Linked DNA regions of Canis lupus familiaris. The protein of the gene in region 4 interacts with the protein of the main gene of each other region in a biochemical or structural test. Links are inferred from orthologs where the notes say so. Each region holds a gene or a part of one and is shown on either strand. Other genes may lie near its edges. The genes, in order: RFWD3, PRPF19, ATR and RPA1.

What was found.
Region 1: the proteins of RPA1 (region 4) and RFWD3 form a complex in vitro, tested with the Homo sapiens proteins (3 studies listed by BioGRID, with this or other methods). The link is inferred for Canis lupus familiaris from reciprocal best matches to the Homo sapiens genes RPA1 and RFWD3.
Region 2: the proteins of RPA1 (region 4) and PRPF19 form a complex in vitro, tested with the Homo sapiens proteins (2 studies listed by BioGRID, with this or other methods). The link is inferred for Canis lupus familiaris from reciprocal best matches to the Homo sapiens genes RPA1 and PRPF19.
Region 3: the proteins of RPA1 (region 4) and ATR form a complex in vitro, tested with the Homo sapiens proteins (2 studies listed by BioGRID, with this or other methods). The link is inferred for Canis lupus familiaris from reciprocal best matches to the Homo sapiens genes RPA1 and ATR.

Annotation. Positions count from the first base shown.
Region 1 is NC_049226.1:76,561,504-76,569,090, forward strand, and holds part of RFWD3 (E3 ubiquitin-protein ligase RFWD3), read left to right. Parts: intron 1-57; coding exon 58-172; intron 173-686; coding exon 687-915; intron 916-4,555; coding exon 4,556-4,706; intron 4,707-6,439; coding exon 6,440-6,616; intron 6,617-7,587. UniProt on the Homo sapiens protein: E3 ubiquitin-protein ligase required for the repair of DNA interstrand cross-links (ICL) in response to DNA damage. Plays a key role in RPA-mediated DNA damage signaling and repair.
Region 2 is NC_049239.1:56,003,330-56,010,731, forward strand, and holds the end of PRPF19 (pre-mRNA-processing factor 19), read left to right. Parts: intron 1-143; coding exon 144-219; intron 220-376; coding exon 377-486; intron 487-1,894; coding exon 1,895-2,050; intron 2,051-2,279; coding exon 2,280-2,349; intron 2,350-2,577; coding exon 2,578-2,663; intron 2,664-2,969; coding exon 2,970-3,140; intron 3,141-3,263; coding exon 3,264-3,369; intron 3,370-4,979; coding exon 4,980-5,077; 3' UTR 5,078-5,498; downstream 5,499-7,402. UniProt on the Homo sapiens protein: Ubiquitin-protein ligase which is a core component of several complexes mainly involved pre-mRNA splicing and DNA repair. Required for pre-mRNA splicing as component of the spliceosome.
Region 3 is NC_049244.1:38,754,662-38,762,960, reverse strand, and holds the start of ATR (serine/threonine-protein kinase ATR), read left to right. Parts: upstream 1-3,936; 5' UTR 3,937-4,013; coding exon 4,014-4,072; intron 4,073-8,299. UniProt on the Homo sapiens protein: Serine/threonine protein kinase which activates checkpoint signaling upon genotoxic stresses such as ionizing radiation (IR), ultraviolet light (UV), or DNA replication stalling, thereby acting as a DNA damage sensor.
Region 4 is NC_049230.1:45,954,758-45,962,344, reverse strand, and holds part of RPA1 (replication protein A 70 kDa DNA-binding subunit), read right to left. Parts: intron 6,529-7,587; coding exon 6,436-6,528; intron 3,633-6,435; coding exon 3,500-3,632; intron 2,156-3,499; coding exon 2,053-2,155; intron 1-2,052. UniProt on the Homo sapiens protein: As part of the heterotrimeric replication protein A complex (RPA/RP-A), binds and stabilizes single-stranded DNA intermediates that form during DNA replication or upon DNA stress.

The DNA.
Region 1 (7,587 bases), on a different chromosome or scaffold from region 4:
ATGAGAAGTGTTCTGTAGCCCTCCTAATCTTCTCCTGTTGTTGGCTTCCTCTTCTAGTTCCTTACTAAAGGAGCAGATGCTAAGGAAGCAGGCGGAGTTAGAATCAGCACAGTGCCGGCTCCAGCTTCAAGTACTCACTGACGAATGCAGCAAGCTTCATAGTCGTGTCCAGGTGAGTCTGCCCTTTCTAATCCAGAGAACTTGGAGATAGGAATGGCAAAGGGATCTAAATACAACTTTGGTTCATCTCACATACAAGTAAGAATTTACCAAGTTTTTCAGGAAGTAAGCAAGACTAACTCTTGATTCTGTTTTTGATTAAGAGCATTTGTCTGAAGCGTATACACTTTAGGATCAATCCTGCAATTTGAACTTTTAAAAAATTAAACAGCCCACTGATAATTCGAATTTTAAGTCATTTTACCTCCCTGAATGTACCAATAGAATGAGGGCTTTAGACAAGATGCCTAGTAAAGACTTTCAGCCCTAGTATTTTATGATCTGTGCTCTCTTTAGTTCAGCTGCTTGTTAAAATACTGTGAAAACTGCAGCAGTGCTCTGGAATTCATGTCAACATTTTTTCCATGTAATAGATAAGAAATGTCCCCATGTTAAATGAAGGAATTATACATGAGGGGAATAGCAAATGGAAAGGCTTCACATTTACAAAATCTTTTTCGTTTTAGGACTTGCAGAAACTTATCGTGCAGCATCGGGAGCAGATTTCACAGCACCCCAGGGGCTCCCAAGCATGTTTCCCAAACTGCCTGCCCTCCAGCCAGAGCCAGCACAAGTACCATTTCCAGAAGACCTTCACAGTGTCTCAGACAGGAAACTGCCGAATCATGACATACTGTGACACTCTGAGCTGCCTGGTGATGTCACAGCCTTCCCCTGAGGCCTCCTTCCTGCCAGGTGAACAATCCAGAACCTCAGCTTTCATGTTCATTGATCTCCTTAATTGAGACTTCACTGATCTCCTTTTTTTTGTAGAATCCAGGACTCACTAGTGGGTGACCACTGGCCATGGCCCACCAAATCAGCTGTTCTAGTCTGTTAATGCAGATGTAGCACTCTTAAGGTGCTACAAAGATATCTTTAGTGTCCCTTGGTTTCATTCTGTAAATATATTAACTAAGAGCTCAGAAATGCTAATTAATAACTGTGATAAAGAGAAGATGAGGTACTTGGAAGCATGGGTTACTGATATCATCCGAGGAGAAGAACATCCCTATATGTCCTGTTAAAGTCACAGATTGATGGGGGCACTTGACTGGCTTAGTTGGTAGAGTATGAGACTTGAATTTGAGACCCATGTTGAGTTACAGGGTTTACTTAGAAAAAAAATTTTTTTGATAAAAAATAAATAAATAAAGTCAAAGATTGATTTTAGACTAGAAATTTTTAAGATTTTTTTTTTTTAAAGTAATGTCTGCACCCAACATGAAGCTCATACTTAGAACCCTGAGATCAAAAGTCACATGCTCTACTGATTGAGCCAGCCAAATGCCCCTAGACTGGAAATATTTTTAAAAACACTATCCAAAAAAAAAAAAAAAAACCACTATCCAGGGATCCCTGGGTGGCGCAGTGGTTTAGCGCCTGCCTTTGGCCCAGGGCACGATCCTGGAGACCCGGGATCAAATCCCACGTTGGGCTCCCGGTGCATGGAGCCTGCTTCTCCCTCAGCCTATGTCTCTGCCTCTCTCTCTCTCTCTCTCTCTCTCTCTCTCTCTCTCTCTCTCTATCATTAAAAAAAAAAAAAAAATACTATCCAGAGGTGCGTGGGTGGCTTAGTTGGCACAGCATCCAACTCTTGATTTTGGCTCAGGTTGCAGTCTCGGTCCTGGGATTGAGCCCCACATTGGGCTCTGCGTTCAGTGGGGAGTCTGCTTGGGATTCTCTCTCCCTCTTGCTCACTTGTACTCTCGCTCGCTCACTCGCTCTCTGTCTCTCTAAAATAAATAAATCTTCAGAAAAGAAAAGCAAAAATTACTATCCCAAGGGCTAATTCAAGTTGAAACAAGATTTAATACTTATTTTCAGTAGTATTCAAATTGACAAATTCTAAATAAAAGAATTTGGCAATGCATTGATTAAGAATTGATAATAATACGGGGATCCCTGGGTGGCGCAGCGGTTTGGCGCCTGCCTTTGGCCCAGGGCGTGATCCTGGAGACCCGGGATCGAATCCCACGTCAGGCTCCCGGTGCATGGAGCCTGCTTCTCCCTCTGCCTGTGTTTCCGCCTCTCTCTCTCTCTGTGTGACTATCATAAATTAAAAAAAAAAAAAAAAAACAACAACAAAAAAACAAAAAAAGAATTGATAATAATACGGTAAATACTAATTTTTTTCATGTTTGTGCTTTTTAAAAAGCTTAACTTTAGATTGTCTTAATGTTGAAAACCAAATCTCATATGCCCAGTTAAATCATTCTAATTTTTGTAAATGTTTCTTTCCACGATCTTTAGCGTGTGATTTCTCCCAGCTGCAGGTCCTTTGGCTTCAGCCTGATTTCCTTCTTACCCACTTACAAATTCCATTCAAATGCTTCAAAACTGTGTCCTGGGGATCCCTGGGTGGCTCAGCGGTTTAGCGCCTGCCTTTGGCCCAGGGCGTGATCCTGGAGTCCCAGGATCGGGTCCCGCGTCGGGCTCCTGGCATGGAGCCTGCTTCTCACTCCTCCTGTGTCTCTGCCTCTCTCTCTATGTCTATCATAAATAAATAAATAAATGAATGAATGAATGAATGAATAAGTAAATAAATAAGTAAATAAATAAATCTATCTATCTATCTATCTTAAAAACAAAACCTGTGTCCCCCTAAACTTAGGTATATACAGGATTAAAAGTAGATTCCTAAAAAAAAAAAAAAAAAAAAAAGTAGATTCCTAGACTATTGTGTATTTTTCTGTTTACTGATAGCTGGGAGTTGAGAGAAGCTCTGGTTAAGGGGAACATAAAAGAATTGTTTCGCTGAGTGAAGTAAGTCAGTCGGAGAGGGACAAACATTATATGTTCTCATTCATGTGGGGAATATAAATAATAGTAAAAGGGAATATAAGGGAAGGGAGAAGAAATGTGTGGAAAATATCAGAAAGGGAGACATAACGTAAAGACTGCTAACTCTGGGAAACGAACTAGGGGTGGCAAAAGGGGAGGGCAGGGGGTGGGAGTGATTGGGTGACGGGCACTGGGGGTTATTCTGTATGTTGGTAAATTGAACACCAATTAAAAAAAAAAAACAGGCAATTTTCCAAACCAAAAAAAAAATTGTTTATAATGTTTCTATTCCCATCCACATCTTTAATAAAAGATTTATCAAATAAAACCTTTCGTATAAACTGGGAAAATACTTACTTTTTAAATTGTTCTCCCAATTGAGTATGATCTGTTCCTTTTTCCGTAATACATCTATTCCACACAGCATAGCTAGCTCTTGAAAGCCTTTTGGTACTAATATATCTTTGTTTCCTTTGATAATTAACTAGGTCAGTATTCGTGTTCCTTGTTGATTGAAGGCCTGTAGTTTCCCTGTTTGTCTCTCTAGCTCTCCTAATTAATTCTGTTTCAAGAGAAAACACAATAAACTTTTCTCACTTTGTTCCCCAGATAGGCTGAAATGTGACTCAAGGCTATCCTGAATTCTAGGATTTGACAAATTCTGTTTGTGGATAACTTGAATAATAATAGATACTTAGTAAAAATAAATACATTATCAGAGCCTAGGAAGAGAAGAGAGTAACAAATAAATTAAAAAGGACAAGTTTGGGGGGGAATTTTTTTCCCCTTTGGAATGCTGCAAATTGATTAGAATACTTGAAGTGTCATCTGTTTTTATTCCATTCAGATAAATGCCATTTCTTGACCACCTGACATAGAAATCACATATCTCTATTCCTTATTGTTCACTCTCTCTGTATCTTCACTGGCTGTGGATCTCTATATTAATAGCTTTATTGAAATAGGACTGACATGGAATAATTTGCACATATTGAAAGTATATAGTTGGATGAATTTTGATATATGTATATACCTCTGAAACCATCTCCACAATCAAGATAACATACCTCATGCCCTTTATAATCCATCTCCCCCATCTGCCCTTACCCCCTCTCCTCATCCCTAGGCAGCCACTGATCTATTTTCTGTCACTATACATTAATTTGCATTTTTTAGAATTTTACATAAACACAATCATACATAATCATAATCATTTTTTGTCTGGCTTCTTTCAGTATAAAGTTTTGGAGATTTGTCCATATTATTGTGTATATCAATAGTTCATTTCCTTGTATTGCTGGGTAGTTATTCCATTGTATGTTATATACATGTACGTATAGTGGTTTACCCATTCACCTGTTGTCAGATATCTGGAGTGAAATATACTTCTTAAAATAATTATGACCTTGGGGAATTTTTATTTTCTTCGTTTAACCAGCTGTTTTCCAGGAATTTAGATGCCAGGAAAGCTGAACAGAGAGCTACTTGAAAAGGTAGTTTACTTTGCCTTAAATTGACTTTCAGTGATTTCATGCTCTCTCGTCATTGGCAGGCTTTGGCGTTAAGATGTTGAGTACTGCCAACATGAAAAGCAGTCAGTACATTCCCATGCATGGCAAACAGATCCGAGGACTGGCTTTCAGTAGTCGGTCCAAAGGCTTACTACTCTCGGCTTCCCTAGACAGCACTGTGAAGCTAACCAGGTGAGTGCCTCAGGGAGGAAGATGGGGCCTGGGCTTTTAGTGTTGAACTGCATAGAAATATGGCAGTGTTTCCGTGTTAAGATGGCCTTAACTCTTTTTTTTTTTTTTTGGTCTGAGGCGTTGTCTTCTGAGATCCAGAGTCATTGAATTTTTTTTTTTAAGATTTTATTTATTTATTCATGAGAGACACAGGCAGAGGGAGAAGCAGGCCCCATGCAGGGAGCCCGATGTGGGACTTGATCCCGGGTCTCCAGGATCAGACCCTGGGCTGAGGGTGGCACTAAACCGCTAGGCCACCCGGGTTGCCCAGGGTCATTGAATTTAAAATGTATTGCTTTTCAAAGTAGATACAATAGGCTACAAAACAGTATATGCAATGCCCTGTTTCTTTAAAAATGATCTGTATCACAACATACATCTTAAGCCAGGCAGATGAGAGAAACACCCTAGAGATGGTTGAATGACAATATGGAGGGAGCCTTGGTACTGGGCACCACGAGGTTACCTACCAGCTTGGAACTGCTTATTCCTGGTCTGTTACTGGGATCCTCCTGCTAAACAAAAATACTCTCCAGGAGCTTACTGTCTTGAGGTGTCGTGATTTCTCTCTCATCAGTAACCCTCAGTTACTGTATTTTATCCTTCATGTGCCCTGCAACTGCTATGACCCAGATCTGAATGTGCTGAGTGCCTTCATCTTTTAGAAAGTAGTTCTGATCAGACATCTGATGGTTGGCTTCCTGTTCTGCAGTTAAATCTGAGGCACATCATGATATCACTATCAGGCCTGATAAGCCTTCTGACTTTTTAAGAATGCTTCAGCTTGGGACACCTTGGTGTCTCGGCGGTTGAGCTCCTGCCTTCAGCCCAGGGCGTGATCCTGGAGTCCCAGGATCGAGTTCCACATCGGGCTCCCTGCATGGAGCCTGTTTCTCTCTCTCTGCCTATGTCTCTGCCTCTCTGTGTGTGGGTGTCTCATGAATAAATAAATAAAATCTTTTTTTAAAAAATGCTTCAGCTTAGCCCCAAAACTCAATATAACATTGTTTTATATTTATGTATGTGTTGTGTTTTTTCCTAGTGGTGTTAAAAAATAGGTGAAAAAAGTGCAGGTTAAACACCAAAGTGACATTAATGACTACCTCTGGGTAGTTATGGGTAGTTAGTTTTGTTTTTCTTGTAGGTAAATTCTAATTTTTTAGCGTTGAATATTTTACCATTGAATACCTGTATTATAGATAATTATGGAGAATTGAGGTAGAGTGGGGAATGTGCTGTTTAAATACCTTTTTAACTTATTTTATTTTCCTTACATTTCAAGAGGAAAACTTACATCCCCCAAAACAAATAATTTGTAATTAAAAGGGGTTACTAGGCAATCCCTAGAGAAACTTAGAAATCCCAAAATAGTTTGGATGTGTGGGTATGTTCTTAAGATTATCATTGGGGGCATCAGGGTGGCTCAGTCAGTTGAGTGTCTACCTTTTGCTCAGGTCATGATCCCAGGGTTCTGGGATTGAGCCTCACATTCAGCTTGCTGCTCAGCAGGAAGTCTGCCTCTCCCTCTCCCTCTGACCTCCACTCCCCCCCCCCCTTTGTGCTCGCTCTCTCACTCTCTCAAATAAATATCATCTGTTTTTTTAAAAAGATTATCAGTGAAATGATAATTTTTATATCTTTTTATATATTTGATTTTCTTAATGCGTAATTGTAAAACTCCTATATCTCCACAGCCTAGAGACAAATACAGTGGTCCAGACATATAATGCAGGACGTCCTGTCTGGAGCTGCTGCTGGTGTCTTGATGAAAGTAATCATATCTATGCCGGTCTGGTCAATGGTTCGATTCTGCTGTATGACCTTCGAAACACGAGCTCTCATATCCAGGAGTTAGCACCCCAGAAAGCCAGGTAGGGAGCCACTTACTTTTCCCTGTAGGTAGCAGCTTTCTGTTGGATATGAATCCTCTCTTTTGAGAATGTTTACATTTGGTCAGAATTTCTCACAGAGGGCAGTTCTCTGAGTCCAGTGATGTCTTCTCATTTTGGACTCCCTAAGATCCTTTGTATGTGTTCATGATATTTCTACATGGTAGAAAGTCCTAGTACCAAGTACAGCCAGGTTCATACAGTCACTCATCACCCAACATGGCAAAATGAAGTCAGATCTGTGTTCAAAACCCAGTTCTACTGCATAGGAGCTGTGTGACCTTTGTCACGTTTCTTGGCTTGTTAGAGCTATTGCAGAGGAAGAGATCAGTAAAAGGCCTATAAAAAAAAATGATTTAAAACTTCCCTAACCTCCAGCTAAACAAACTTGGTCTAAAGATACCATGTTACTATGATTTATCATTTATAATCCAGTTACAGAATTGGGAGATTTTTAGAGTCAGCCCAAATTCTGAGGATGGGTGGCCACCTGCACCACTATGACTCTTCAGAATGTGTTGAGTACCATTTGGGTGTAATATTCTCTTAAAGGCATAAATTTCTCAAAAGGAGAAGTGGTGGAGTCTGACTTAGGCCAAAATGAGAAGTATCTTAAAAGAGAATTTCTATTTCCAATGTGAATATATTTTGAAAGGGGGGCAGGGGATCTAAACAGAAAGATACCACTATAGTAACGATACAGTAATTGGTTACTAAACCTAGGCTCAGCACTTTGGAGTCTTTTCATTTGGGTGGGGTAGACTCATGCTTCAGTTATGCGGGCCTGAAGACAACTGATGTAAACTTTTACAGATGTCAACTCCTAACAAACACGCTAACTGCCATTGATGTAGAGGGATCCAGACGGAGTAGGCAAGAACATGGAGCAAATAGCAAGGAAAGGGTATTTGTATGTAATGTTCATTTCTGCTTTAGTTTGCTTCATTGTGATA
Region 2 (7,402 bases), on a different chromosome or scaffold from region 4:
CAGGCAGAAGGCCAGGTGCTGTGGATGAAGAACAACAGTCACTCTTGTTCCCTGGGGCTGGGGATGGCATGGGGAGGGTGTGTGGCTTTATGGCCGGCCTGGATTCAGCTATGTCTGGATTTGATGTTGCACCCTCTGCTCAGGGCTTGCACAGTGCCAGCATTCCTGGGATCCTCGCCCTGGACCTCTGCCCTGCTGACACCAACAAGATCCTTACTGGTGAGAGCCGGCCAGGCCAAGCAGGCCAAGTCGGGGAGGGCAGCAGGGAAGGTGCATGCTCCTGTCCTCTGCATGTCCTGGGGACAAAGTACCTTCTCCAGCAGAGGGACCCAGGTGGGCATGACTCATTTTGGGGTATCATTTGGGTCCTTTCTAGGTGGGGCCGACAAAAATGTTGTTGTCTTCGACAAGAGTTCTGAGCAAATCCTGGCCACCCTTAAAGGCCATACCAAGAAAGTCACCAGTGTGGTGTTTCACCCTTCCCAGGTAAAGGGTTCTGCCAGTCACCCTGCGTTCCTCATTCCTGAGCCTTGTGTCAGCAGTTTAGTGTCAAGGACCCAGTCATCTGGTGCCCCACTGTGTCCTTGGTGAAGTGAATTGGACTCAAGAAAGAGTGCTGAGCCTCCATAGTGGGCACTGGGCCTTTGTTTGTAGTCGGGGATGCCCTATACTCTGTGTAGTCCTTCCTAAAGCAGTGGCCTTCACATCAAGGGGCATAGAGCTTGAATAAGCAAATTCATAGACATGTTTTGTGTTAGGAAAAGGAAAAACCCTACAGTGTCTGTGGTACAAACTGGAAAACAAAGCTCAGCAAAATCTTAGCATACCCAGGAAGGACGGGTTTGTCCACATTCCCATAGTCCTCTGGGATTGGTGAGGGGACTTGATGATGACTGTTGACTGTTGAAAGTGGTGTGGGCTACAATAGATGGAGAAGTGCTGGCTTAGGGGCAAGGGCTGCTCATTAGATGAGATTACTGTTAAAGGATTTGAATCTTCAGGTCTGGCACAGTTTGGGTCTGAGACTATAGGTTAGTGCCTGAGGATGTGCTTCCCAATCAGCCTTTTTCCTTTTCTGTAAAGAAAGTAGAAATAGATAAATAATTTTAAATTTTAAACTTACTCATTTATTTTTTTGCATGTTCTTTTAAAGTAGTCTCTGTGCTCATCGTGGGGCTCGAACTCATGACCCCCAGGTCAAGGGTCACATGCTCCCCCGACTGAGTCAGCCAGGAAGTGTATTTCAAATGGAAAGGTCTCCTTTTCTGCTGAGTGTTAATGGGTTATTTCTCTTATGAAATCCTGTTGACGAAAGATGGTAGTTGGTTCCACCTTACAGTTTTTAATGTCCTAACCCAAATACTTGGTGGGCAACACTATGTAAGTTCTCTCTCTGCCTCAAATTGTTCTGAGGATTAGCTTGCCCTTGCAGTGCTGAAGTATGGGAGGCACTGGAGTATGCCCTTGCAGCCTTTCCCAGGCCAGTGCTGTTCAGTGCCCACGCGATCCCTGACAGTAGCCATTAGCTGCATGTGTCTATTTAAACAAAGTAAAACGAACTAAAACAAGAAAATCAGTTCCTCAGTTGCACTAGCCACGTTCCTCTGTCTTGTTCAGGGAACGGTGTGGGAAATTGCTGTCTGGAACAGCTGTCCTTCTTACCACTAGGTAGTTAGGCCTCCTCATCTAGGCCAATGCTGTTTGATTTACCATTTTACATAGTACTTACTGTTGGCTCTCTTAGGTATCATTAGGTGGGTGGATGGTTTTAGGCAGGACAGGGCTGAAAGAGAAGCAGTTGTTGGGGTTATGGCCGTCCCTGGCTCCCCTTTGTAAGATTGTTATGGTCCATCTCTTCTGCCTTTGATGTTCTGCCTCTTTGCTTTCCTTTCAGGAGCTGGTGTTTTCTGCCTCTCCAGATGCTACTATCAGGATTTGGTCAGTCCCGAATGCGTCCTGTGTGCAGGTGGTTCGGGCCCATGAGAGTGCTGTGACAGGCCTCAGCCTCCATGCCACTGGGGACTATCTCCTGAGCTCCTCTGATGACCAGGTGTGTGGTCCCAGCCCACACCCCGTAGAGGCCAGCTGGTCTCCAAGCTCAGGAAACCTCCTGGGAGGAGGGAACATCTTACCAACACCAGCTGGTTCCCCAGAACCCCAGAGGAGAATGTTCCTCTGCTCGGAGGGGCTAGCTTTGCCAGGGTTTGCCTAATGAGGGCCCCTGCCTTCCTAAAGGGCACCCGCTTTCTTATTGGCTCTGTTGTCTCTGTGTTTTTCAGTACTGGGCCTTCTCTGACATCCAGACAGGGCGGGTGCTCACGAAGGTGACAGATGAGACCTCTGGCTGTTGTAAGTTGCTGCAGAGGGGCTGGGTTCTGTCATTTGATATTTATTATTTATTTTTATGTTTTATTTAGTCAGTTGCTTATTTGCTTTTAAAATACATTTACTGTAAGCCCCTCCCGAATGCCAGGTGTTGGGGTGGGCGCAGTGTGCAGTGTGAAGAGCGAGGAACCTCTCGCTGTGCTTCTTTTTCCTGTGGGCTCTGACCACAACTCCCATCTCCCTCCCCTACAGCTCTAACCTGTGCGCAGTTCCATCCTGATGGACTCATTTTTGGAACAGGCACCATGGACTCACAGATCAAGATCTGGGACTTGAAGGTAGGACATGGGAGCCTCCACCTAAGGCCCAGGCTCTGAGTTCTTGACTATGCAGTGTGATTATGTGCTGACGGCACCTGGCCCTGGGGCTGTCACAAGGGTAGAGAGACCGTGGCGCTGTGTGTGTGTGACGTGATAGGTGTGGTCCGGGGTTCTTGGGCTGGGCCATCTGCTTCCGCTGTTCCTGCTAGTTGACCTTTCATAAAGGCTGGAGGAGGATGGCTCAGAGGTAGGTTTTTGGTGAACGCCATCTTCTCCCCCTCATGACCAGTGGATGACGTTGTGCTATCCATCCTCAAACTGCAGGAGCGCACCAATGTGGCCAACTTCCCCGGCCACTCGGGCCCCATCACCAGCATTGCCTTCTCAGAGAATGGCTACTACTTGGCTACAGCGGCTGATGACTCCTCTGTCAAGCTCTGGGATCTGCGCAAGCTTAAAAACTTCAAGACGCTGCAGCTGGATAACAACTTTGAGGTATGCCCCTCCCTCCCCTGCTGCTCTTCATTTGTACTCATCGAATCATCTGAGCTGCCTCTGTTGATCTCTGACTGCCTCGTAGTTTCTGTTCTCATGTGACCTCTCTCCTGGTTCCAACAGGTGAAGTCACTGATCTTTGACCAGAGCGGCACCTACCTGGCCCTTGGGGGCACGGATGTCCAGATCTACATCTGCAAGCAGTGGACAGAGATTCTTCATTTCACAGGTAGGGTCTGGACTCCGGGATCCCCAGGTCCTGGATGCCCTGGTGCAGAGCAAAGAGGGCAAATACCACTGGGCTGGGAATTTCTAGGGGCAGGCGTGAGTTTGCTTGGGCAGCTTTTCATCACTACCTGAGGCAACTGAGTTGAGTGACTAAGAAAATGAACTCAAAAATCATACTGCTGAGCATTAAATCCTAGCTCTACCACTTCAGGTCCTCTTCAGGTTGTGTGACATTGGACAGGTTACCTAGTCTCTCTGGGGAATGCTAATAGTGCATATTCCATGCGGTGCCAAGGAGGTTTAGATGAGTTTATGTATACACAAAGTCCTCTGTTTAGTGTGTATACATGTAACCTGAGGAAGTAGCTGTGTATATGCGTGTGTACAAACACATACGTAAATAGGACAGCGCCTGGCACATATTAGGGATTTGCCCTTATTCAGCATTGCATCATTCCTGTGGGATTGGAGCCATGACTGAGATCTAGGCCTTGCACTAATGGAATTTCCAATCAGCCTAGAGGAGCAGATGTGAGACAGGTTTACAAATAATCATTTAATTGTTGTGAATGCTGGAGAAGAAAAGTAGAAGGGGTGGCACAGTGGGTGATAGGACTGCTAACCTAATAGCTGTGTGGTCCTGGGTACCTCAGTTTCCCTCTGAGAGCTGTAGCTTCTTCCTTTTTTTTTAACGGTCACATTGATACTGCTTTGCAGATTGTGCCAGTTGGTGACATAGACGTGGCACGCACAGGGACAGTGTGCCTGTTGCACGCTGGAGAGCTAAGCAGACGGCAGCTGTTGGCTGTCTCTGTTGATGAAATTCTCATCCTCATTAGCAGGTTGTGGGCGGGGCCCAGGATGCTTCTCCTGCCCCCACATTCTGCTGAGCCCTGCTCAGTTTGTATGCTGCAGGGGTGTCCAGGCCTAACCGTGACCTTCACTGGGCTCCGGTGTTTTGGAGTTGAGCGAGGCGGGGTAGTGGGCTGGAAGCACAGCCTGGGTTCTGTAGTCGGGGCCCCAGGTGTTATCCTAAACCTAGAAGGAATTTGCTTTGCTGCTTGTGACTACCGGAATCCAGGAAGGTGTGTCACCCAGCCTCTTGTGCCCTCAGCCCACCCCTGCCCTACCCTGTGCCCTAGGTCGGAACCCGTGAGCTAGAACTTATTGACAGACTGTCTCACTTATAAGAAAGGAGGTAGAAATAAATACATATAATAGCATTGAGGTTTTAGATTGAACAGAAAACTCAGCTAAGTTTTTAAAAATAAGGTGAGAAGTGGAAGAATGAGACTATGTCTGCTTGGTCTGTCGCTCTCTCTGCCAGCTCCCAGTGGGTTCTAGTAGCACTTGAACTGAGCAGAATTGCAGCAGCCCCAAAAGCTCAGATGAGGGGCAAAGCTCAGGTGAGGGGCGCTGACATTCCTCTGTTCACTCAGCCCACAACAAGAACTCGAGTGCCTACTGTGTGCCGGGAACTGAGTAAGGCCCAGGGCACAGGTGGTGTGTAGGCCAGACTAGCACCCTGCCCTCGGGGGTATCGGGGTGACTAGGAAACACTGAGCACTGACCCGGGGAAGCCTCACCACTGCCTCTTGTCTCTCTCCTCAGAGCATAGTGGCCTGACCACAGGGGTGGCCTTTGGGCACCACGCCAAGTTCATCGCTTCAACGGGCATGGACAGGAGCCTCAAGTTCTACAGCCTGTAGACCCTGGCCCTGCGGATCTGGGAGCTGGGCCTCATCTCAGTAGAGGGGTAGAATTAGGGTGGGGGGAGCGGGGAGGAAGGGGAGAGACTATTGGGGGAGGGGGGGTCTCTGGGGCGGGGCATTCACATCATTTCACTCTGGTCTGGGTGGTGACCTGAGAGCCATGGCGGCGGGGACCACCCTCATCCATGCCACCTCCAGCCTGACAGGAAGGATCACGGGAGGTAGAACTGTCACCCTGTGAAGGCTCTGGTTGGAGCCCAGGGCCTCTCCCCTCATGGTGTTCATTGAGTTGCTTCAGTTCCTGGGAGATGGGGAGAGGCTAAGCCAAGGGAAGTGTGAAGGGGATGGGCGTGAGGGCTCTTGCAGGTTTTTGTAAGCAGTGATTTAGTTTCATTAAAAAAAGAAAACAATAAATGTAGCACTTTCCTGTGTGTGTCTCTAAAGGGAGCCCCAAGCTGGGAAGGTCAGGGGGAGGGAGCACATTTGCTAGAAAGACTTTTCATGTCCCTGCAGGCCTTGACCTTGTGTTTCTAGGGTCTTAAGGGTCTCACTCGTGCCACCACTTCCTTGTGGGTTTGGCTTCTACAGCAACTGAGAGCAACTGAGACAAGAGGGAGAAGTGAGGGAAGAATAGCTTTTTCTTGCCCATGAGGAAGTGTGAACATATCAGCAAGGACTCTAATGCTGTGGGTGCTACAGAACCTGCCCCAAGCCAACCCAAAAGATTTTTCAAACTAGCTTTTGAATATGGAAGGAGAGCTGGTTCCAGGGAAGACAGCCAGAAGAGTAAATGAACATAGAAGATCAGATATCAAATGCCTCTTGGAGTGAAAGTAGGGCTCCTTGGCTGCTGCAGCTGGGGTGGCTTCTTTCATGTGATAACGAAGCTGAAGTCTTAGTGCTCTGGAGCTGAAATGGAGGAGGGGTCTTGCTGGCAGGGGAAGCTTCTAAAGGAGGGGATGATCAGGGTGCGCAGAGGGGTAGGGAGGAGGACAGGGTGGGGTGGGTGGCTGAGGGAGGTGTTCAGGAACCTGGGGGAGAGCAGTCCAGGAGTGTGTTGGGGGGAGTGGGAACTGTCATGCATTGTGCTGGGGCCCTGGGGCAGTGGGTCACAGCACAGTGATCTACACTGGTGCCTGCAGAAGACTCTGCACATGTTCTGCTGGGTCAGTGGTCCATGGTCAAGAAAGCTTGGGCATGCTGTCCTCTCCCTTGGAAGCTCACAATACTTATTAGCGGGTAAAGCCTTTGAAAACTGCAAAAAAGAAACCCTTTAACATTTGAACCCAGTTTCCACAGACATCTGACTAGGATAGCCTTTGTGCGTGTGTATCTGTGATCATCAGGGGAACTGGCCTTTGGAACACACGCCAAAGTTGTAGCTGTTGCAGACAGCGCTGCGGGGGCACCTTGGAGTGCCAGCCTCTTGTTTGTTCAGGTCAGTTTTACCGCAGGACACCCAGGAGGGGAGTGACCAGGCGGCGTTTGGAATACCTAGAGGTTTTCCCACATTGGCCAAAGTAAGGCCAATTTTGAGTATACCGATTTGAAATGTGTGGGGTTGTCCCTTTTTAAGAAAAGAGCCGTCATGCAGTTACACTTCAAAAGGAGGAAGGGATGGAGCTATGGTTTGCTGGGGGTAGAGCGGCCCCTCCCAAGGTGGGGGAAGGGCAGACTGGACCCTGAGCTAGCCCAGCACCTAGCCATTTGGCTGCTTCCTGGCTGGATGTGAATATGTGTTGTTAGGCTGGTTTCATTTCCAGGAAAACTGCTAAAGAGAAAGAGGGAGGTTCTCAGGGGATCTGTGGGTTGGGAGGGGCTGTGGTATGAAGCATGTGTCCTCTCCATGCTTACGTGCAGTTTTTTGACAGGGGAGGGGCTTGGAGTACATCTCAGAAGATCTCCAAGGGACCACCATCCTGTCCCACCCTATTTCAAACCACTGCCCTGGAACTGGGGCATGGCCCTGCTCTCTTGGCCTTGGAAGCCTCATGTTGGCGTTAGAAGTCCTAAAGTGCTTTCACTCTGTCCTGCCATCTGTCCACTCATCTCAGCTGTGTGCTGGACACTCTATGTACATTCTCTCCTTTTACTCTTGAAACAACCTTGTTTTTAGCTGTCCAGCTGAGCAGCTTCCAGGGAAGACCCATGGCCCTCCCCCTCCCCTGCATTCTGGGCTGTGAGGCAGGAGTGAGGCAGGAACGTGGAATCCCAGCTATGGCACTTTTTAGGCTGGGGCCCTTGGCCATATTATTTGACTTCTCTCTGTTCTAGTTTCTTCAGAAGTTGAGGATACTGTACCTGGGGTATTGTAAGGCTTAG
Region 3 (8,299 bases), on a different chromosome or scaffold from region 4:
TGATGTATAGGAAAGTTAAAGAGAGTAAATCCTAAGAGTTCTCATTACAAAGAGAAAATCTTTTTTTATTCTTCTTTCTTTTCTTTTTATTGTCTCTATATAAGAATACGGATGTTAGCTGAACTCATTGTGGTAATCATTTTATAATATATGTAAATAGGGCAGCCCGGGGGGCTCAGTGGTTTAGCGCTGCCTTCAGCCCAGGTTGTGATCCTGGAGACCTGGGATCGAGTCCCACATTGGGCTCCCTTCGTGGAGCCTGCTTCTCCCTCTGCCTGTGTCTCTGCCTCTCTCTGTGTCTCTCATGAATAAATAAATAAAACCTTAAAAATATATTTATGCAAATAAAACCATCATGCTATATGCCTTAACCTCACAGAGTAACATGTAAGTTATTCCTCAATAAAACTAGGAAAGATGAAAATTAAAAAGTATTTAAAATGCAAATTTTTGAGGATAATATACCAGGGAATTGTATATTGAAGTCCATTCCAGTATAGAAAGGAGCTTGTAAAATTGTTTATATTTCATTTCCTTAAGAATTCTATTTTAGTGTATATTTATCATGTGAATTATATAGTAAAATCCTAGCATAATACCATAAATGGAGTAAAAAAAAAAATCCAATGCATTATGATGGAACTTGCAGAGCTGGACAGCCAGGAATTTGGGCATCTGAGAACTAAGTCCATTTTGCTCTTATTTGGGTTGTGGTGCCACCTGGTGGTCATTTCCCCTCCTAGTTTAAACATCAGTGAGGACAATTCTATGCTCATGCTGGCTGAAACTTCCAAGACATTGGCTGGAGCTCACGTATCAACTTGAATGAGACCCTGCCTGGGCTTAGAAAATACCAAGGTCTCAAAAGGACACCAGGACCCACGTACTTGAAGCTCTCTGCTTCCTGCCTCACTCCCTCCTTCCCCACATTCCACTCTCCCTAATGATAAAAGGGGAGTGAGAGGAATACAGATACCAGTCAACAGTTGTATTTTGTCCAAATTTACATTATGAGTTTTATTTATACTACAAAATAGTGCTAGGTATATGTGGTTAATAAATATGTACACATTAGGATGCAAAATTTCAATGATACTGTTGAACGAATAAAAAGGTTGGGAGGCTCCAGTGCAGATAATTGACTGGAAGGAAAAGCTAAAGTAAGTGAGGTAAACTAGAATGTTGTGGGAATAATTGTGATGGTCTGAAACTAGAATGGTGGTGATGGGATTTGGAGGGAAGTAGATGGGTTTGCTTATTTCAGAGGCAGAATTGAATCCTTATCTTGAAGAGATATAAACTAAAGTATTTATAGATAAATTGATTTGATGCTGGAGATTTTCTTTAAAATAATCCCACTAGGGAGAAGGCAAATGGGAAGGGTGGTTATAGATGCAGCAAAAACTGGCCATATGCAACAATTGTTGAAGTTGGGTGATAGCCACAAGGTGGTTCCTTATTCCAGTCCCTCTACATTTTTGTATATTTGAAACTTTACATAATACAAAGTTGTGGGTTTTTTTTAAGATTTTTTATTTTATTTAATCATGAGAGACACACACAGAGAGAGAGGCACAGGCACAGGCAGAGGGAGAAGCAGGCTCCATGCAGGGAGCCTGATGTGGGACTCGATTCTGGGTCTCCAGGATCAGGCCCTGGGCTGAAGGCAGCGCTAACCCGCTGAGCCACCGGGCCTGCCCCATAATACAAAGTTTAATAAAAATAAAGTACCTGGGAAAAATTCCAGGTAAAAATTTCAGTAAAAATTAGACATGTGAAATAAATATAAAGCCCAGAGAGAGATCTGAGCAGAAGCAAAGAATTTGGGAGTAATAAGCTGTTGGAAAGTTTACTGAAGCCTGAAGTCACCTAGGAATAAAAAGAAGAGAAAGGAAGCCAAGTTAGAATCCTAAGGAATAACAGCAGTTAAGAGAATGGCAAAGAAAGTGTTGTTAACAAGAGAGTAACATAGGCCAAAGGAAGAAAATATCCTCACTGCTAAATGCTGCTGAGTGGTCACAAAAGGACTGATCAGTATCTTTTGACTTTAGCCATATATGCATATGAAAGTCGTTGGTGACTTTGATGAGAAGCACTTGAGAGGGGGTGGTGGGTAGGGCAGAGATAATAGTTTATGTAGATTTAGGACTTGAGTGGGAGGTGAGGAAATAGAATCAGCCTATATGATAAACTCAGAAAGTTTAATGGGGGGAGAGAAATAATGGGTACCTTGAGGGAGGATGTCTGGTTGGAATAATTGTTCATTTATTGATATACTGCTAAAGAAGTTTGATTTCTTAAAATAATCTGCTACCTTCCTTTTGTTCTGACCTGCACCCTCCCGCCAGATCTGAGTGTGGCTTTGACTGTCACTTTATATCAAATCTTCCAGTGCCTCTTCAGTGCTTACTGAGGTTTGTACAAGGGTCTCAGCGGGACTACTCGAAATGCTCCCTAATATCACCTGAACTGGACCACTAGTCTCTCCCTCCATATGCTTTTTGTTCATACTGCTGCCTCTAATTAGAAATATATTCCTCTTCTCCAATCTTTGTCTTTTCATATCCTCATCCTTCACCATCCCATCTCATTCTCATCCCATCCATCTCCAGGAGAATGTGGTGCCTCATTCTCCTGGAGCCCCTTCCTCATCCACCTCCTCTCCACACAGTATATTTAATCTCTTCCTCTTATATTTTTCCAATGCATGTTTATCTCTCTCATGGCATTCATCAGATTCTGCTTTGCTTTTCAATTTCTGAATTCCTATGATGTCCTTCTATATCCAGTTTGCACACTACTTGAGACTTCATCATCCTCATCTTTGTGTCACAGAAGTACCCCCCCAAAAAAATCTTGCATAAAAATAACTTTTTGAATAAAATTGGATTGCCAAAGCTCTATTGTTTCCAATGTTTCTAATGTATACTGCCTTTCAGAATTCCAGTGTTATTTTAGTTTTTGCCTTCCACATAACATTGTAGTTTTTATAATCTTTCTTCCTATCATCTAAAAATACCTAACATCTGTTGCTTTTTCGTTGGTCGACTTTTTCATATGTGCAATCTAATCTAAGCTTTAAAAAAGCTGGCACCTGGGTGGCACAGCTGTTTGGGCGTGGGACTCTTGGATTTGGCTCAGGTCGGGTCTCCAGGATCAGGCCCTGGGCTGAAGGCGGCGCTAAACTGCTGAGACACCCGGGCATCCCCGAAATCCCTTCTTAAATTTTTTTTTTTTTTAAGATTTTATTTACTTATTCATGAAAGACACAGTGAGAGAGAGAGAGGGGCAGAGACACAGGCAGAGGGAGAAGCAGGCTCCAAGCAGGGACCCTGATGCAGGACTCGATCCCGGGTCTCCAGGATCACGCCCTGGGCTGAAGGCGTCGCTAAACCGCTGCGCCACCCAGGGGATCCCCGAAACCCCTTCTTAAATATTAAAAGTCGGGAATAGCCTCAAGAAAGTCTGACTTCACGTGGGAAAAACACCCTGCCGAAACAGGAAGGACAGGGAGGAGCCCCGTATCCCGCTAAAAGGACGCGCGGCGAGGGGTGGGGGGGCCCGGGATCGAGTCACGCCTTCCACCCGCCGGAGGGTCTCAATTCTCCCTTTCGTGATGCGAGGGAGGCCGGTCTGTTTCTTTTCCAGAACCCGGGGGAGGTCTCGCCTCGCCGAGCCTCCTAGGACGGGGGCAGCCCGGGGTGCCCGCGAACACCCCAAACTCGCCGCGAACCACGCCCCCAGCGGGAGCCGCGCTGGGAACGTGCCCCCTGCGCGCTCCGCCTCCTTGGCCCCGCCCCCTTGCCGGCCCCCCGGCCTCCCCCGGGTCCTACGCGGAAGAAGAATTCCGGTCCGCAGAGCGTGACTGAACGCGGCTTCCGGGAGGAGTTTTGGGCCTGGCGAGACACCGTCGGGCGCCGCGCCTGCCCCTCCCCTCCCCCCAGCCCCGAGGTAGCTGTGGAGACGCCGGGAGGCAGCGGCCGCGCGGTTGACGAGGGCCGCGCATCCTCAGCATGGGCGACCACGGCCTGGAGCTGGCGTCTATGATCCCCGCTCTGCGGGAGTTGGGCAGGTAGGGCCAGGCCCGGCCGCTCCGGGTGCCGCGTCTCCTCCGCCCGGCCCGGCCCGGCCGGCCTCTCACGTGCGCTCCCTCCCCAGCCGCGCGCGTGCCGGCTCCGAAACCTTCAACCCCGGCCCCGGGCGGTGTGTCTCGCCAATGGCTTGAGCACGTCTCCCCCCGAGACGGGGTTAAAAATACGCGGGCGTCGCCGCAGACGTTGGGGAAGCAGGTCTAGGGCCCGAGAGGGGCTGTTCGCCGAGCCCACTGTACCTCAGCGGCGCCCGGGAGCCTTGCCCCCCCGCCCCTTCTGACCGCTCGCTTCCTGCAGACCTCTTTCCTTAGGTGAGGGACTCGACCCAGGAACTTGCCCCATTTTCTACTCCTTGTGATCGCTCGTGGAGGAATTGGGTTCTTAGCTTTACGTGTTGACCCAAACTGCCCCTCTTTGACAAGAAAAGAATCACTGGTTCGTGTGGTGTGGAAGGAAGGCCAATTGCTAGAAAAGGCAGTTTGGTCTTCTTCAAAATGAAAGCATAGGCCGTCCTGAAGATGGGCCCCGTTTCCTGTTGGTCATCCAGCGCCCAGTCCGTTTATTTTAGTCAGAAATCCCAGGGATCTGCCACGACGTCCCCAAAATGTAAATGTGCACAAGATGTTGCCAGAGTTTAAAAATAATTCAATACTGTTTCATTTGCAAAAGCCCGCCTTCTGTAAACGGAACAGTAAAATCACGTAAACCACCGTCCCACCTGAAGAGAGGGGAAGGCTGTTGCTGGCTGGCTGCCATCCCCCCTTCAGCACACTGGCAACTTTCCCTCAACCAGGCCTAAAGGAGGGAGGGTTTTTATTTTGCTTGCCTTTTTTTTTTTTTTTTTTTTTGAGTTTTAACCCATTGCGAAGAAGAAATAAGTGGGTTTGTACCACTAGTGCAGTTGACCTATCAGTTGGAGTAATTGCTTTTTGAAAACTTAGCACACAAAGTCAGAGCTAACAGAAAATCTGTGGGGTATTTAATTCCTTTCTTTTTGGGGTGCAGATGTATTCATCTCCACTTGTTGGCCATACAAGAATATTTAGTCTTCTTCGATCACATAAATAAGAGGGTAAATGAAGAAACCACTCTTGTTTTTACCGAATCATCCTGTTTTTGTGTTTTTTTTTTTTTTTTTCCCCGCTTTGCATGAATGTTGCAAGCCTACTTTGTGTTAACATTTTATAAACTAACATGAATACAAGCGCTCGTTTTAGGACATTGAAGTACAGATTTCATTTTTGAGGCTCAATGTGAAGCTCAATATTTTTTTTTTCCTATTTTGTTTTCATGTAGAATTAACTAATGCCTTTCTACCCTCTTTTTTTTTTTTTCCATAATGAGAGTTGTTAATAAAAATAATAGTATCTTGGATTTATTTATAGTCTCTTACATCACCGGAGCTTACGTTACTTTTCTTTAACAGTCGTGAGTTTCTCATTTTAATTGCTTCATTCCTGCCTATTCAGTCTCACAGTATCTCCATGATGTAGAATAGAGTACATATTATCACTATTCAGTAAGAAACTGAGTCACAGGAATTGAAGAACCAAAGTCAGAGGTAGCCATTATCAGAGTTGGGTTCCAGATTCATGCAATCAAAGCCTTTTCTCCACCCCCATCTTTTTTTCTCATTAATTGACTGGCAATTCAATTTCTGAAAAAAGTGAGATGTTAACTGTTCTAATGTGTGGGCGGCTCTGTCTCAGAGATGAATTTTGCTTCTGTTTTTTGCTATGAGCACTCTTTTCTCTGCCTAGTCTTTCAGGGTGATCCCATCCACTGTCTTTAACTACTATCTGCCATTTAATGACTGCAAATATGTTTCTCCAAACCATATCCATTTCCTATAGAATATTTTTTTTTTGAAGATTTTATTTGTTCATGAGAGACACAAAGAGAGAAAGAGGCAGAGACACAGGCAGAGGGAGAAGCAGGCTCCATGCAGGGAGCCAGATGAGGGACTTGTTCCCAGGACTCCAGGATCATGCCCTGGGCCGAAGGCAGGTGCTAAACCGCTGAACCACCCAGGTGTCCTCCTATAGGATATTTATACAACTGTATACTGGCAGTTTTAGCTGGGTGTCCTATATGCCATTAAGACAACATAGCTGGGCACCTGGGTGGCTTAGTTGGTAAGTGTAAGACTCAACATAGTCAATACAATTTCTTCACGTATCCTAACCTCCCTTTTTTTTTTTTCCCTCTCATTCACTGAGGTAGGGACATCTCAGTAAGTGATACCATGGTCACTCTGTTTTCCAAACCAGAAATGTAGGAATCATTCTTGATTCCCCATGTGACTTTGCTACATCCTTTGTCCTCTTTTCATCTTTACTCTCTTCCTAAGTAACTTCATGTAGTCCCATGGCTTTAAATATCACTTATATTCTGATAACTCCCAAATATTTATCTACCCAGAGATATTAGGTTGCTTACTGTTGAACATCTGTACCTGAAATGAAAATTTACATCATTACATCTTGATTTATGTTCTTAAACTTGGTTCCTGCCCCAGGTTATTGTAAATGTGCCAACCAAAAACCCAGGAATTTTTATTTATTTTATTTTATTTATTTATTCACGACACAGAGACAGACAGACACAGGCAGAGGCTGAAGCAGACTCCGTGCAGGGAGCCTGATGGGGGACTCTGATCCCGGACTCTGATCCCCTGTCTTCAGGATCACACCCGGGGCTGAAGGTGGCGCTAAACCGCTAGCCGGAATTCTTGATTCTTTCTCTTATACCCAAAAAATCTTATCAGCAAGTCCTGACAATCCTACCTTTAAAATACACTTGTCACTGCCGCTATTCTTGTCATTTCTTATCTAGACTATTACTGTAACCTCTCAGCTTATCTCTCCATTTCCATGTTACCCACTCACTCAGTGGATTTCTCACTCAGCAACCAAAATGATTTTAACAACTATAAATTATAGATTATATAGCATTACTCCTCTGTTTAAAACCTTCTTAGTTTTCCAGCACACTTAGGTTAAAATCCAGACTTCTTCCCAAGACCCCTACGGTCCTACATAATCTTGCCTCTGCCTGCCTCTGACCTCATGGCCATATATCCTTCCCTTACTCTGTTCCACTGGCATTGACCTTATTTTTTGTATGCCCCAAGGTCATTCCTACTTTCAGTGCTTTGCTTTTTGCTGTTTCTTCTCTGAACAGACCAGTTTCATTCAGATCTCATTTTGGAGAGGTCTTCTCTGGGCTTTCTGTTTAAAATTAGTTTGTGACCACAAGGTATTTTCGGATAATGATAGTTGCTATTAAAATATTAAATGGGGCAATGGGTAGGAGATGAAAGTCTAGGGAGCATTAACATTAGCCACTAGAGGGGATTTGAATGGTGAGAAGAAGCCAGTCATGTGAACTGGGAGAAGTATCTGAGATTGAATGGGAAGTTTAAAAGTCTCCAGGTGGAAATGAGCTTACTTTTTAAAGAATAGGAAGGACGAAACAAAGGAAGCAAAAAAGGGACTGGTGTGAGTTAAGGGTGGAAGAGTAACCATGGGCCAGATCCTTTAGTATCTTATAGGCCAAAATAAGGAAAATTTAAGTGCAATGGGAAACCTTTGGAATGGTTTCAGGAAAATAACAATTTAATTCAGGTTTTAAAAAGTTTACCTTTCACTCTCCTAATTGCAACATTTCAGTGTCTCATTGCTGTCAGTACAAAATCGAAACTCTTTAGTTGCTTCTTTGAGCTTTGATACAGTTTTTCTTCAGCTTCATCTGCAATTACTCCCTCCCCCTTTTTTAATTTTTATTTCTTTTATTTATGATAGTCATAGAGAGAGAGAGAGAGAGAGAGGCAGAGACACAGGCAGAGGGAGAAGCAGGCTCCATGCACCGAGAGCCCGACATGGGATTCGATCCCGGGTCTCCAGGATCGCGCCCTGGGCCAAAGGCAGGCGCTAAACCGCTGCGCCACCCAGGGATCCCCCTATATCTCCTCTTAATATTTATTTTTCTTGATTGGTCCTAATAGTCAATATATGTACTTTTCTCTAATATATTTTTTAAAGATTTTATTTATTCATGAGAGACACACACATGAGAGAAAGAGAAGCAGAGACACACGCAGAGGGAGAAGCCGGTTCCATGCAGGGAGCCTGATGTGGGACTTGATCCTGGGACTCCAGGGTCATGTCCTGAGCCAAAGGCAGATGCCAGTCGCTGAACCAATTTTC
Region 4 (7,587 bases):
TGTGTGAGAGGGCCACAGACACTCCAGAAACACACATTTTAGAAGTCATATATTCAAGTTATTAAGCACAATGGAACAACCTAGGCTTAACTAGCTGATCCCAGTATGGTACTTTATTAACCTCAAGTTAGAGACCTTAAAAAAAGCAAAACAAAAAAACATAAGAAACCTAGTGATTTTAATATTTTGACAACCAAAATAAAAACAAATTTTAACACTGAGTGACATAAATGCAGACGATAAGGAAGCGTGATGAGCCCAATGATTCACCAGCTGCCCTTATGTTCACACCAGGCAATTACGTCATATTTGGGAATCACTGACAAAATGCTAGAATACGTCATGTTTTCGAGTTGCTTGTGATTTGATTTTCAATTTTACTTTTCCATCAGTCAAAATACTATAGATGGGGGCAGCTGGTTGGCTGGCTCAGTCAGCAGAGTGTGTGACTCTTAATCTTAGGGTTCTAAATTCAAGCCCCACGTTGGGTGTAGAGAGTACTTAAAACAAAAACAACTATAGATGGATAAGAAACTTATAACAAAGGGCTGAAATTTTAGCCAACTGATAGATTAGACCGATAATCTGGTAAAAAAATTAGGTTCTGATATTGATTCTGCCACCATACAGTCAGTATATTTGGAGTATTGGGCCATCTTCCCAAAACAAACAACAAAAACAAACCACCTATGTTTTCTACCCTCTCAGAAGTTTGAACCACTAGGAAATATGCAGCAGCTTAAAAATAATATGTCAAGTACATATTAAGAATTATAAACAGAACAGAGAAACAGCTAACAAGACTGTTGAGATTCTACAACTTGGATTTTTTTGTTTCTTCATCATGGTTTGGTTTTGTTTAAGTGAAGCACAGAGTCTGCACATGCAGAATCCACCTCCCACAAAACCATTCACTTTTCAAGGTGGCTGGTGCATGCCTTCTGCTGTGGCCCAAAGAAACACTTTGCTTATAAGCAGACATCACTTCTTAGGCCTTCAGTTTAGCCTGCAAACAGGTCAGACAGAGTGTCTTTGCTTTCTCTTACTCATGAGGCTGCTCAAACAATTAAAAACTAAATTCTATTGCTATAAATGCTTAGACTTGTGTGACTCTTGATCTTGGGGTCATGAATTCAAGCTCCATGTGGGGTGTAGAGATTACTTAAAAATAAAATCACTAACATTAAGGATTTTAAAGGCACCTGGCTGGCTCCATTGGTACAGTATGTGACCTTTTGTTGTTGTTGTTGTTGTTAAAGATTTTATTTGTTTTAAGAGTTGCATGCTCTAGAGGTGCCCTGGTAGCTCAATCAGTTGAGTGTTGGACTCCTGGTTTTGGCTCAGGTCATGATCTCAGGGCTGTGAGACAGTCAGTGGGGAGCCTGCTTGAGATTCTCTCCCTCCCTTTCTGCCCTCCCACTCCCTGGCTCACACCCTCTTTCTCTCAAATAAATAAACAATTAAAAAAAAATTGCATTCTCTATGGACTGAGCCAGCCAGCCAGGTGCCCTGAATATATGACTGGTGATCATCATGAGTCCAAGCCCCATTTTGGCATGGAGCCTACTTAAAAAGAAAAAATAAATTAAAAAACAGAAAAACATAACATATAATAAACTAAAAGGATTTTATTTAAGAGCTTTAACCCTCTGGGGCACCTGGCAGGCTCAGTTGGTTAAGATCCAACTCTTGACTTCAGCTCAGGTCAGGATCTCAGGGATGTGAGATTGAGCCTGGTGTCAGGCTCCAAGCTGGGAGTGGAGTCTGCTTAAGGTTCTCTCTCTCTCTCTTAAAAAAAAAAAAAAAAAACCCAAAAAAACTCTCTCTCCCTTTCCCTCTGCCCCTCCCCCTATACCTCCCCTTCTGAAGAAGAAAAAAAAAAAAGACCTTTAACCCTTTGCCCCCAGACAGCATTAAAAGCCTACAGAGGAGGAAAAACAACAATATTCATGTTTATTTTTGGCCTACTGCTGTTTTTCATCACACAGGCTTACACAGAGATGAGCTCTCTTTCTCAGACTACTCGTATTTTCCCACTTGACAACTACTCACACTTTCATCAACTAGTTCTATGGAAAAAAGCTTCCCTTCCCCTCGGGAATTGCTCCAGGTACGGATCTGACTTTTGTTGGTAACTCGAGCACAGATAGTCCACCTAAAAACCAAATAGATTATATTAGTACTCAGGTCTTAACTGGGAAAGATCTAAAAGGTTCCCTATTATCTTCCTATAGCCTTTCTTACCTTATGCATATTCCATTTTTCAACGTAAGCTGTATTTTAATCCAACTGATTAAAACCCCAAGATGACATACAGGTTTGACAGTTTATAGAATAAGCAAGTAATAAAACATATCAGATGATTTAACACTAACTCATTCTCCTGTCAAATTAGCAAATTTATAAACGCTCTCCCTTCTCCAAAAAGCAACACGAAGGCAACAGTATCCCCTTAATGAAAGGTTCTAAGCTAGAAAATGCAGTAATAACAGCAATTATATTTTGCCACTATTTTCAATTATGGGAACTGATCAAACTGGTGTCAAACTTCTGTCCATTCTAGCCCACAATGAATATAAATATGGGACAGTGTTGGTAAGCCACCAAAAGAAAACACACTAAAGCAGTATGACCTCAGACAGAGGCCACTAAAAAAAGGAGGTACAAGATCCAATATCCAGTCCTGGTGCCGATACTGAACGCAAGTGTTGGGCACATTGGTTACCTTACTCATTTTCCCTGCACTGCAAAGAATTGAAGATTAGATAACATATCTAAAAGAATTCTGAAAAGAGAACTGATTTTCAACTGCTAAAATTAACTTTTTTTTTTTTAATTTTTATTTATTTATGATAGTCACAGAGAGAGAGAGAGAGAGAGGCACAGAGACACAGGCAGAGGGAGAAGCAGGCTCCATGCACCGGGAGCCCGATGTGGGATTCGATCCCGGGTCTCCAGGATCACGCCCTGGGCCAAAGGCAGGCACCAAACCGCTGTGCCACCCAGGGATCCCAAAATTAACTTTTAATGGAAAAGAATTATATATATAACTAGTATCTGTTCAGGGTATATTAATATGGTTATACAAACAGTACAGATTCTCTTAGTCAACTAAATCACAGTAACAATTTTTAGACTAAAAGTCACTTATATATCATAGAAGGTGAAATGCCTTCTGAAATACAACAAATATTTATTTTTTCTCATAAGACAATAAATGGATTCTTTAAACATTAAGTATTTTTCAATTAAAATTCTTTCAAAACAAATGAAACTCTATAGGCTATTGTAGATTGTTTTTCTTGCCATTCTTTCATGGTAAGAGAGTCAAAGGTCACCACAATTTGTACCCTCTTTCTCCTTTCAAGGAAAAAAAAAGATGAAATTTATTTTATATATGGTAACCCTGAAGTTCACACATAAATACCTCAAGAGCCCATAATAACCTCTAACATCATATTGTAGGTATATCCTGAGCTTACTCTATGGCGTAACTCACTTGGATTGGTAAGGAGTAAGGCTGGCAATGGGCACCACTTTGACCTGTGTCCCTCCAGAACTACTCGCTAGGCTGGTACCTCCAGGTTTTCCAAATGTCTTTGAGGCACTGTAAGTCTTAGAAGCAGTGAAACCTTTAAAAACAAACACAAAGGAGGATCATCATTATTCTATCTGAATTTTTTTAAAAGATTTTATTTATTTATTAGAGACAGAGAGAGAGAGAGAGAGAGAGAGAGACAGGCAGAGACACAGGCAGAGGGAGAAGCAGGCTCCATGCAGGGAGCCCTATGTGGGACTCGATCCCGGGTCTCCAGGATCACACCATGGGCTGAAGGCAGCGCTATACCACTGAGCCACCAGGGCTGCCCTATTCTATGTAAATTTTAAACAAATGTTGTAATAACTCTCAATTACTGAGATGTCACTGGTGAAATATAAAATGAAAGCAAAACTCTGCCTTTTTAGTAATCAAAGAGATATGGAGATTACATAGAGACCACAGACGCCTGGGTGGCTCAGCAGTTGAGCCGTCTGCCTTCAGCTCAGGGCATGATTTCGAGGTCCTGGGATCAAGTCCCACATCCGCTCCCTGCAGGAACCCTGCTTCTCTCTCTGCCTCTGTGTCTCTGACGAATAAATAAAATCTTAGAAACAAAAGCAAAAAAAAAAAAAACAAAACAAAAAAACCCAAAAAACAAACAGAGACCAAAACAGGAGGCTAGGAAAGTAACTGTGAATGAAGCCTGGGCACACAGAAGCTTACTACTTTATCTGTTGACTTAAGCTCTGACTGAGGTCAAGATAGTAATTCTGGTGAGTCCAGACACTGTTCTGGCCCATCTTTCTTAGACTGTCCTCTTGTATCAATGGGCAAGATAATGGGTTAGAGAAAGAAAATCAAGCAACCTCCTTGACTGGTAATACTGACAGTAAGTCACTAGTTGCATAAGAAAAAAAAGCAAAAGGAAAGGCTAGGAGGTAAGGCACATAATGGATGAACCATCTGAGGTGAAGGGTCCTACCACAAATATTTTACCTCAAACATCCTCAGAAAAATGTTTTCTTTCTTTTTTTTAAAGATTTTATTTATTCATGAGAGACAGAGAGAGAGAGAGAGAGAGAGAGAGAGAGGCAGAGACACAGGCAGAGGGAGAAGCAGGCTCCATGCAGGGAGCCCGAAGTGGGACTTGATCCTGGGTCTCCAGGATCAGGCCCTGGCTGAAGGCGGTGCTAAACTGTTGAGCCACCCGGGCTGCCCTATATGCAGTTTTTATGAAGTTTCAACCTCCAAACTCAGAAAACAATTCAGTCCAATTACTTCATATCTTCTCTACCAAAGCATTTCTTTAGGATGGAATTTGGCTGGAAATGTAAATCTACCATTATTCAGCATTTCTTTATTGAGTTTCCAAACCTGTAAGACACCATTCTAGGTATTTGCAGTATTTAGTAAAAACTATACAGAGACTGTCCTGGATCTTAACATATTCTATTCTAATTGGGGAGTCAAGAGAAAACTACACATACGACAGTAATAATTGCCTCAAAGTTATGCAAGAAGCACATGAACTTTGAAGAATATATGCATGTGTACATATACCTAATATTATCTATAAGATATAGTTTTTTTTTTTTTTATAAGATATAGTTCTATAACACACATACACACACTTCCCCTCAATATAGTCTTCTTTTCTTTCACCACCCAGTTGATGTGTGTTTAGACAACATTAATTGATTTTTAAAAATAAATGTTAGGGACTCATTGGTGGCTCAGTTGGTTAAGCTTCTGCCTTCGGCTCAGGTCATGATCCCAGAGTCCTGGAATCAAGCCCCTGCAAGCAGGGAGCCCTGCTTCTCCCTCAGCCTCTGCCACTCCCCCTGCTTGTGCTCTCTTGCTTGTTTCTTCTCTTTCTCTTTCAAAAAACAAATTAAAAAAAAAAAGTTAATATAAGCCAAAGATTGACAATTGGGAAAATACATCTGTGGGAGGAGGGAGAGGAATAACATACTACTTGTAGTTCAGCCTAAGGAAGTGACTAATTATTAGATTATTCACCACTTTAGATACTAAATCTATTTCATGACCTCTTTCAACAGTACATAACTTGCAAGTTGTATATATAAATAGATCCACTTATAAAAGGAGATAGAAGATAAGATTGACAGATATTGCAAAGTAGATAAAAACATAAAAAACCAAAGGGGAAAAAGTCCCATGTCCTCAAAGTTTCACAGTAACATTAGTGACGTCTTAACCTTGCTTTTCTTAAAATTTCAGCACTGAAAATTAGTAATTAAGAGTTGAGGGGAGAAGAGGTGGGACATAAGAAGCTGTGACAGAAAAAAGAACCTCTAAAAATAAATCCAACCCAAATCCTCATTTTTAATAGTTCCTCAAGTGAAGGGAAGAAAGTAAACAAAATGATTCCATTACAGTCTCTCAGGACCGTATTGCAAGAGACAGGTAAAGGAAGATTTCTCATCCATGAGACTGAGAAACAGAACCTAGGACCAACATAAATGATACCATCTTCACGTTAAGATAAATACCTATGAGAACCCCGAATGGGAAACTTGGAGAGAGACAAGTGGATTCCAAATAGTTAAAAGGCAAGAACTTAAAGGTATGTAAATTCACAAAGTCAAAAGAGTGTAATAAAATGTAGGATGTGAGAAAGTACCAAATAAATTATTAACAGAGAACAGTATATCATTCTGATGAAAATAGGCATATTAAGTATCTTTAAAAGACTATCTTTAATCATTTCTTCAATCACACACTTTATAGTAAGAACTGGAATTCCCCTCTGCAAGAACCAACTATCATGATCAGGATTTTGAAAAATTCCCTTTAGTCCCAGATTAAATTTCAAAACATTATTCAGAAGCCTGATACATATATCTAGCACATGTCTTCATGTGGCCATTTACCCATTGCTGAGCTCCCATTCTGTTGCTGGGGCTTGTTGGCTGGTGGATTGGCTGCTGAGACTGGAGAAGGAACTGCCTGCTGCTGCCCATGTCCTGAGGACCAAAAGAAAAACAATTTTAGTGCAAATAATTCAGGCTAAAAGATTTAAACTTAAGTAGAAGAAATACTCTGAGAAAATGTAAATTTTTTATTTTGTTAGACTCTCATGGGTCAGAATTCATGCTGGGGTATTCAACTACATGCAGTCCATTTGCTAAGAGTTCACATCTGTTTTCATTATATAAAAGGTTGGCTCCATTTACCTTTCACCTGCTTATAATTGAGTTTTCGGATTTTTAAAAAAGATTTTTAAAAATTATTTATTTATTCATGAGAGATAGATAGAGAGGCAGAGACACAGGCAGAGGGAGAAGCAGGCTCCATGCAGAGAGCCCCATGTGGGACTCGATTCCAGGACCCCAGGATCACGCCCCAAGAAGGCAGATGCACTTAACCACTGAGCAACCTTGGCGTCCCAATAGCTTTCAGTTTTAATGAGGTTCTCCCCTAAAGTCTTGCCCATTTCTCCTGCATGAACCTGAAGTCAAGTCACTGGCTGAATCTGTGACATCATCACTATTTCCATAGCAACAGATCGATGCCATCAACATAATTGTGTTCAAGGTAGGATCTATCAGAAGAAAAAGCTGGGTGGTAAGAAAAGCCTAAAAGCAGTTCAATTGTCTCTGAAGTGCTCCTGCTTCAAAGGAAAAGGAGACATTCAGAAAGGATTCTACCCTTTCCTTCCCAAACAAAGCAACCTTATTTTGCAACTGACAGTTGATGGAAAATAAGAGTTGAAAGAGCCTTAGGTACCGTGAAGTGCTAGTGAACTGTCACAGCAGGAAGAGATGAGATGGAGTTCAGAAGCAGGTGTGTCAAGGAAACAGAAAGATTAAAAGGAAAGGAGGGGAAAGGAACAGGTCTCTCAAGCGGAAAATAAGAAATCCCACACCATGAGACTATTTATTTGCCCCTCACCCTTTCTACAAATGTTTATGAGTTGAAGAATGTTAAAACTGCAAAATATACCCAATTAAAAATAATTGATTTATGGAATTTGATTTTGCCTTTGTGAGGGGCACTGAAAGCAGAAGTCAACCTAATCCAGG